2 linked regions of the Neurospora crassa OR74A genome follow. The protein of the gene in region 2 interacts with the protein of the main gene of each other region in a biochemical or structural test. Links are inferred from orthologs where the notes say so. Each region holds a gene or a part of one and is shown on either strand. Other genes may lie near its edges.

The links.
Region 1: the proteins of NCU02587 (region 2) and NCU06438 are reported together in a solved structure, tested with the Saccharomyces cerevisiae proteins (2 studies listed by BioGRID, with this or other methods). The link is inferred for Neurospora crassa OR74A from reciprocal best matches to the Saccharomyces cerevisiae genes TFB3 and SSL2.

Annotation. Positions count from the first base shown.
Region 1 is NC_026503.1:1,415,780-1,419,993, reverse strand, and holds the start of NCU06438 (DNA repair helicase RAD25), read left to right. Parts: upstream 1-1,359; 5' UTR 1,360-1,593; coding exon 1,594-4,182; 3' UTR 4,183-4,214. Other genes in the region: NCU06439 (zinc finger protein), read right to left, coding at 155-486, 614-657, 785-789. UniProt on the Saccharomyces cerevisiae protein: ATP-dependent DNA translocase. Component of the general transcription and DNA repair factor IIH (TFIIH) core complex. When complexed to CDK-activating kinase (CAK), involved in RNA transcription by RNA polymerase II.
Region 2 is NC_026501.1:2,825,120-2,828,830, forward strand, and holds NCU02587 (RNA polymerase II transcription factor B subunit 3), read right to left. Parts: upstream 2,186-3,711; coding exon 1,097-2,185; 3' UTR 575-1,096; downstream 1-574. Other genes in the region: NCU02588 (nuclear movement protein nudC, variant 1), read left to right, coding at 3,079-3,091, 3,186-3,397, 3,523-3,711. UniProt on the Saccharomyces cerevisiae protein: Acts as a component of the general transcription and DNA repair factor IIH (TFIIH or factor B), which is essential for both basal and activated transcription, and is involved in nucleotide excision repair (NER) of damaged DNA.

The DNA of each region.
Region 1 (4,214 bases), on a different chromosome or scaffold from region 2:
TAATGGTGCGATGTGCAATATGATGTGAGTGACAACAAGCCACCCAGTTTGATTATATGCTTCTCTAAATGGTATCTCTTTTTTCCCTTCCTCGCTGCGTTGTGATTCCGTACTCCAACTCCAACTTCAACTCCAACTCCAACAGCCCAGCCACTCAACCAAGCTTATCAGCGTCCACATCCGGGTCAAATATCGAGATCTGGTTCATGGTCTTCTTCGTTTGCTTGACTCTTTCGTCCTTGAGCATGCGCGCATCCATTCTCGCATCCTCGCCCTCGACCCTGAGAGCAGCCTTGGGCGTCACGGCCTCGATGATGTAGTGGTTGTCGCAGTGCGGGCAGTATTCGTCGGAATCCTCGAACTCGGTCGCATCCTTGCGGAAACACTTTTTGCACTTTTTGCAGGCAAAAGTCATCTCGAGTGTCTTCTTAAGGGGGTGCGACTCGGACTCGGCGTGGCATTCGGGACAGTCGAACCATTTGCGGCCTGCGTAGGAGGTGGGTGTAGAGTTAGAGGTCATGTTTATATGGCTGCGATGTTCGGTGTTGTTGTCGTTGTATACTGGTAATAGGGAATCGTGGTGGTTCGTTTATTTGAGACTGAGGTTACGTACAGCATGGTGACCGGATGGAGACTTGAGCATTGAGAACGTGTTTACTGGATGGGAGAGGATCTAGTTAGCAGGTGGTTCGTGGAAGTGGTCTACACGAGCAAACAAGGGGAACATAAGTAGAAGGCATGCCGAAGTGTCAGGTCATGGCATGGCAGGTGGGAGTTTACTTACCACATGATGACAGACAGGAAGAGGTTACTTATGCGCAGAGAGGTAGATAGTGTAGATGGCTCGTTCTGATCCCTGATTTTATGATATTTCGTCGTTGTTGGGTTCTATGTGGTATGTACGACACCAAGATTCTTTCGACGTCGCTTCGTTCTCCTTGATCGCCAATGTTCACGTCCGGAAAAAAAAGGGTTCACCGAACTTTATCACGGCACTTAACGCGGTCGTCCCGTCGCCCCCCCCTTCGTCCACCCACCCAGACCAGAACCGACCCGACCACCACTCAACGCGGGGTGCTTTTCGGACTGGACAGCGGGTGACACGGGTGGAGCCTGCAACTGAGGGAGTGCACTGAACGCCGAACGGTTCCCTCCACTTCCAGGTTGGCTCCAGAAGACTCGCTTCCCCACAAAATAAGCGTGGCTGATGACTAAACTAGCGTGTCTGGCCCCTGTCGGCCTTGCTGTCACAGCGGCTCGGGCGCCCGGCTCCTACGGTATCGCCTTAACAATTTCCATAACAGGACAGGAACCGCAGTGTAAGCAAACTAGGCCTGCTGTACTTGTACCCTACAATACCTCTGCTTGTAGAGCCAGGTATCTACCGTAGCGTACAAAAGACAAAGTGGAATTTCATCATCCATTTCAAACTCCCATCCTTTCAACCTTGTATTCTTTTTTTGCCACTGCACTGGCATTCTTCATTTGTCCGCCTGCTAATCCATCCTTCTAGAACTGAAACTGCTAGAAATAGATAAAACAGAGCAGAGACAAGAAAGAAAGAAAGGAGATCACGTTTTCGTCATACACATAATGCCGCCCAAGCGAAAAGCGGTCGGCGCCCCCCAGGCCGGCGTTGCCAAAGCTGGCCGCACTTCGGCCCTGTCCACTCCCGGCCCCGCGACTCCCCGCAGCCTCGAGAGCTCGTTCCAGTCGGACGGCGATGATGATTTGAACGACGACGACGTCGACGAGGTCATCAAGAGGAAAGAGGAGGTGATTGCCCGCGAGGCCGACGAGTTCGTCAATACATGGGCCGTCGATAGTAGCCGTTTCCAGGCCCGACAGGACGGTGGCGGCAGTCATCGTGACGGCGCCACCCAGTTCTTTGGCAGCGGGAAACGCGACTTTTCGTATCTGAACTTGAAACCCGACCACGACCAGAAGCCGCTGTGGATCGACCCGGAGAAGGGCACCATCATACTCGAGAAGTTCAGCCCGGACGCCGACCGCGTCACCGACTTCCTCGTCACCATTGCCGAGCCCAAGTCACGGCCGCATTTCCTGCATGAGTATCAGTTGACCGCCCACAGTCTCTACGCTGGTGTGTCCATTGGCCTGCAGTCAAAGGATATTATAGACACCCTGGATCGCTTCCTCAAGACCCCCCTGCCCGAGTCCATTCGTCTCTTCATTGAGTCGTGCACAAAGAGCTACGGCAAGGTGAAACTCGTGCTGAATAACAACAAGTACTTTGTAGAAAGCTCGGATGCCGAGTTGTTGCAGAAGCTGCTCCGCGATGAAGTAATCGGAAAGTGGCGTGTCCAGGGCTCCGGTGATATTACCACCTCCTATGCGCCCACCATGGGCGGCCTGGTCATCCCCGGCACCAAAGATGCCGCCGGTGTGAACCAGGCAGGCCTCAACAAGTCTGGCAACAAGAAGACTGCCGAGGATGGGGCCGCGGACGCTGCGGCGACTAACGAGGCAGACCTCTACGCAGCCATCAATGAGGAAGACGACGAGGACGACAAGGACGCCGTCCATGCCTTTGAGATCCCCGAAACCGCCGTCGAGATTGTCCAACGACGCTGTCTTGACCTAGGATTTCCCATCTTGGAGGAGTACGACTTCAGGAACGACTCTAATAACGCGGATCTGGAAATCGATCTGCGACCAAACACACAGATTCGTCCGTACCAGGAGCAGAGTCTCAGCAAAATGTTTGGTAACGGCAGAGCAAAGAGTGGCATCATTGTTCTGCCGTGCGGTGCAGGCAAGACCTTGGTCGGCATTACGGCTGCCTGCACCATCAAAAAGGGTGTCATCGTCCTGTGTACCAGCAGTATGTCCGTCGTGCAATGGCGCCAGGAGTTCCTCAAGTGGTCCAACATCAACCCCGACGATATTGCCGTCTTTACCGCTGAGAGCAAGAACAAGTTCTCTGGTAATACGGGTATCATTGTTACTACATATTCTATGGTTACCAACAACCGAGAACGATCTCACGACTCCAAGAAGATGATGGATTTCCTCAAGAGTCGTGAATGGGGTCTGATGCTTCTCGACGAGGTCCACGTCGTCCCTGCCGACGTCTTCCGAAGAGTTATCTCTTCCATCAAGTCGCACTCCAAGCTGGGTCTCACAGCCACCCTGCTCAGAGAAGACGACAAGATTTCCCACTTGAACTTCCTAATCGGCCCCAAGCTCTACGAGGCCAACTGGATGGAGCTATCCGAAAAGGGTCACATCGCCAAGGTCCAGTGCGCAGAGGTGTGGTGTCCTATGCCCACCGAGTTCTACGACGAGTATCTTCGTGCCAACTCGCGCATGAAGCGCACTCTTTACGCCATGAACCCCCGAAAGTTCCAGGCCTGCCAGTACCTGATCAACTACCACGAAGCCCGCGGCGACAAGATCATCGTCTTCTCCGACGAGCTGTACTCACTAAAACAATACGCCCTCAAGCTAAATAAAGTCTTTATCTACGGCGGCACCGGCCAAGCCGAGCGCATGCAAGTGCTCGAAAACTTCCAGCACAACCCGCAAGTCAACACGCTCTTCCTCTCCAAGATCGGCGACACCTCGCTCGACTTGCCCGAAGCCACCTGTCTCATCCAAATCTCCTCCCACTTCGGTTCCCGTCGTCAGGAAGCCCAGCGCCTAGGCCGTATCCTCCGAGCCAAGCGCCGTAACGACGTCGGCTTCAACGCCTTCTTTTACTCACTCGTGTCCAAAGACACGCAGGAAATGTACTACTCGTCCAAGCGCCAGGCCTTCCTGGTCGACCAGGGCTACGCCTTCAAGGTGATCACGCAGCTGGCCAACATCGAGAACACGCCCGACCTGGCCTTCGCCACGGCGCAGGAGCGGCGCGAGCTGCTGCAGCGCACACTGGTCGACAATGAAAAGGGCGCCGAGGATGATGTCGAGACGGACGATCTGTTTGGTAAGGTCGGGCGCGGAAGGGGTGGCGCAAAGGGCAGAGCGGCGGCGGTTCGGAGAATGGCTGGAACCCTGGGCGAGCTCAGTGGTGGTCAGGATATGGCGTACATTGAGCAGAACAAGGCGGCGAATAAGGGGTTGAAGAAGAAGGGTGCCGCCAAGGCGGAGCAGAGCGCCTTCTTCAAGAAGCTGCAGAGGGAGAAGGAGAGGAGTCGGGCTTTGGCGAGACAGGGCTAGAAGAAACCGTCTTGATTTGGGGTCTTTGACTT
Region 2 (3,711 bases):
GTCTTCCTTATGGCTTGTCTGGTTTGTTCGGGATGACACGAACCGGCAAGTCACGCATCTAGCGCGGCGTTCCTTTTGCTTTTTGTTTTATTTTCTTTTATTTTGTATTTTTTGAGCTCAGCTCTTTTTTCTCACCCGCCTTCGTTATTCGATTCGGCAATCCTGATCTTTCGGTATTGTTGCCGCGAGTCTTCTGACGGTGCCCCTCCTTAGTCTACCGAAAGGACAGCCAATGTTCGGGTAAGCAGGGCGGTTTGATGCTCGTACCTTCGAAATGGGTGGCAATAAGGCAGTCAAGGATTGACTGTGAAGAGATCAGGCTTTTTTTTCCGCCGTCGAGTGCTTCTTAACGAGCAGGGCCAGATACAAGGCTTAGCAGCGCAGCGCAAGGGGGAGGGGGGAAGAATAGTTGGAATGGAACGCTACATAAAAACGGTGGAATGGGGTCCGGGCATCTCGAGATAAAGGAGTGAAAGAGGTATGGTATGATAAATGGTCATACCATCAAAACTTTCAGGATTGGCTGCCAACACTCTCTCCAGGAATGGCCAGCAAGGGAGGCATACACATTTTTGCAGTAGGGAAGCCTGGAGGCTCTTTTTGTTTGGTAAATCTTAATCTATATATTTTTTTGGGCATTTTTGTGATCAATCGACGCACTCTTATTAGTCTGAATTTCTTTTTCTTCTTCTTTTCTCCATCATCATCGTCGTCCCAATCCCTCACACAAAACGTGGTCTTCAGTGACCTTGATACTCCTTACAAGTAGACAGATGGCTTGATGGGTGGCAAAGAGTAGTGAATGTACTGCAGTTCGCCAAGTTCTGTCTTATGTGGCTGCTGGACTGCGACCATTCGCATAATGAATTTCGAACCCAGAAATCCACAGCAGACCCGAATATTTGCGCCCTCTAAAACCACCGAGTCTGAAGTTGATCTATATGATGCTGGTCCCGCCTCATGTGTGTTCCTAAATCCAGATCCGTCGGAGAGGAAAAAGAAAAATATTCAATCGCTGAGTGAACGCCGTCGCTATGCAACAAAAACACCATTACCGCCAACCAAAAGGCCGGGGCATACCGGTCCAGAACCACTCTCAGTCCAAATCCATCTTATCCGCGTCAACCACAGCGGCGATCCCCGCCGCCATGCTCGTCTCTTGTGACAGCCCAATACCACTGCCGACCTCCTTCTCATCCTCAACAAACACACCCAACCCAGCAAACGCTTCATACAAGGCGCGCGCCGCAAAGTCGTCAAAGCTGTACCCACCAGCAACGTGCTGTCTGTCCAACCGGTACTTCTCCATAAGCGGGTGACTCAAGCCTCCATGTAGCTTGTACCGACTAGGCGCGAAGTCCATGCCTCCAAAGGGGTCGTACGGGCCCTGTGGCGCCGGCGCCTTCGGCTTCTCCTTCAAGCCGCGGATGGACAAACGCTCAACCTCCGACGCGCCCGTGCCCATTCCCGTTGTTGCGATGGCAGGGTTGGAAGCTGTTTCAGCAACCCGATTCACCTGCCCACGCCTCTTTAGCTGTACCTTCGTCGCCGGCTCCGCTGTCATAGCAGTGGTTCCCTTGGCCAGGTTATCCAGCTCCATTTCGCGACTCCTCACCCTCTCTCTTTTCTCCGCCTCCGCCTCCTTGATAGCCTCAATCCTCCTCTGCCTGACAGCATCCCTTTCGGCTGCCAGCCTCACTCTTGAAATCTCATCCGCCTCCCTCCCCGCCTTCTTATTCCGTTCAATATCCGCCCTATGCTCCGCCTCCCATGCCTGCAATTGCGCCTCCGCCTGCCGTCTCCTCTCATCCGTCCCATTGACAAGTTCAAACGTCAAATCTTCCACCATCTGCAAGTAATTATTATAATCCTGGAGCGTCTCAAAGTCGTCCTCGACTTGGTTGAACACCGCCGCCACGCGACGGCGGATGTCGACCTCGCGCTCGACGGCCAAGTCGCCGAAAAAAGCCGAGCGGAAGCCCTTGCGACGGAGCGTTTTGTTGCAGCCGGCGTGCGGACATTGATTGGGTCCGTCGTTGAAGAGTCGGTTGGCACAGTTGAGACACATGGAGTGGTAGCATTCGGGGTTGAAGACGAAGACGATGTCGGGGTTGAGGTACTTGCGCGATTTGCAGACGGGGCACATTTCGTCTTCGAAGCCGAGGGGGTCGAGAGGGCGCGCCATGGTGGGTGGTTTCTTTTTTTTTTGGGGGGGGGGGGGGGGGGGGGGGGGTTGTTTTGATAATTTCGCTTCGAGGAGACGGGGATCGATGTGCTGAAGTGGGATTTCCAAAGGTTAAATGATGGCCAAGAGAAATGTATGCTGAATTATAGCGAGGAGTGGGCGTTTCCCTTCGAAGGGACAGTAGTCCGTATCTGAGAACTCGGGACGTCTCTTGATGTGTCGGTGAGTGAGTGGCGATCGCGGCCCAAATCTTCTTTTATATCTGTTTGGTGATCGTGATTTGGCGACGAGGACTTGTACTCGTCTTGTTAGGTGATGAAATGTTGTTCTAAAATGCCAGCTCGGCTAGGCAGAAATTCCGGGTCACGCAGTCATGTATCAACGGTGGATAGGGAAGGTGATGAAAATCAACCAAGTGGAAGTCTGGGTGAAACCCGAGTGAGATTGACGATGTGGTGAAAGAGGGACTGATAAGAGTTATTATGCTTGGGCTGAATAATCCTTGTTTCCACTTGGCCCCCAACCGCGCCAGCGCTCCAATGGACGCTACCCTGGCGGTGCAGGGTGGGGCTTCCCAGATCATTCACAGCACGGCACTCTGCCGCGCTCATCTGGCAGCTCTGTCTCAGGGGACTGGACGCGGGCAAGCGTGGGGTGAGCAGGGGCTACCAGGGCAGTGACAGCAGCCGCTCGCGGGCAGCTCCTAGGATTGGGATTGGGCGGCCGCAGCCGTTCCATGCGGGTTACCTGCCCCTCCAGAAATTCGGTCATCGCGTTCAGGCGCGTTCCATCGTCTTCTACTTACATTACCGCACATTGCACCACTGCACCACTGCACCAAGCTGCCGTCGTTGCCCAATATCTACACCGAATTCAACAATACCACCTTCAACATGGCTGACAAAGGTGCGTTTTAGAGCTCAACTCCTCTTGCTCCCAAGACCAGAAAGTCCATCCGCCATCAACAGGTCCCACTAGTCAACTGACCAAACAATGTCAGACGTAACAGAGCTCACCCCCGCCGAGGAGGCCGCTGCCCGCGCCAAGGAACAAGCCGAGCAGGAGGCTCTCCCCTACAAGTGGACTCAGACGATTGGCGACGTCGACATCACCATCCTCGTCCCTGGTAACCTAAAGGGCAAAGATATGGTGGTTGAGATAAAGAAGCAGTCTCTTACGGCTGGTATTAAGGGTCAAGAGCCCGTCATCAAGGTAACCAACCTACTTGCCCACATATCTACAAATCACAACCCTTGCAACTTTCCAACGCCGCCTATACCATACCACCCAATGTCGCATGCCGAGTAGCTCGATTCTGACACCTCCCACAAAACCAGGGCGACCTCCCCCACCCGATCCTCCTCGACGATTCAACTTGGACGCTGTCCCCCGCTCCCGCCGGTCAAAAAGCCCTGGAGATCCATCTCGAAAAGCACAACAAGCTCGAGTGGTGGCCGCACGTAGTCACCAGCGCCCCGAAAATCGACGTGAGCAAGATCGTCCCCGAGAACAGCAAGCTGTCGGAC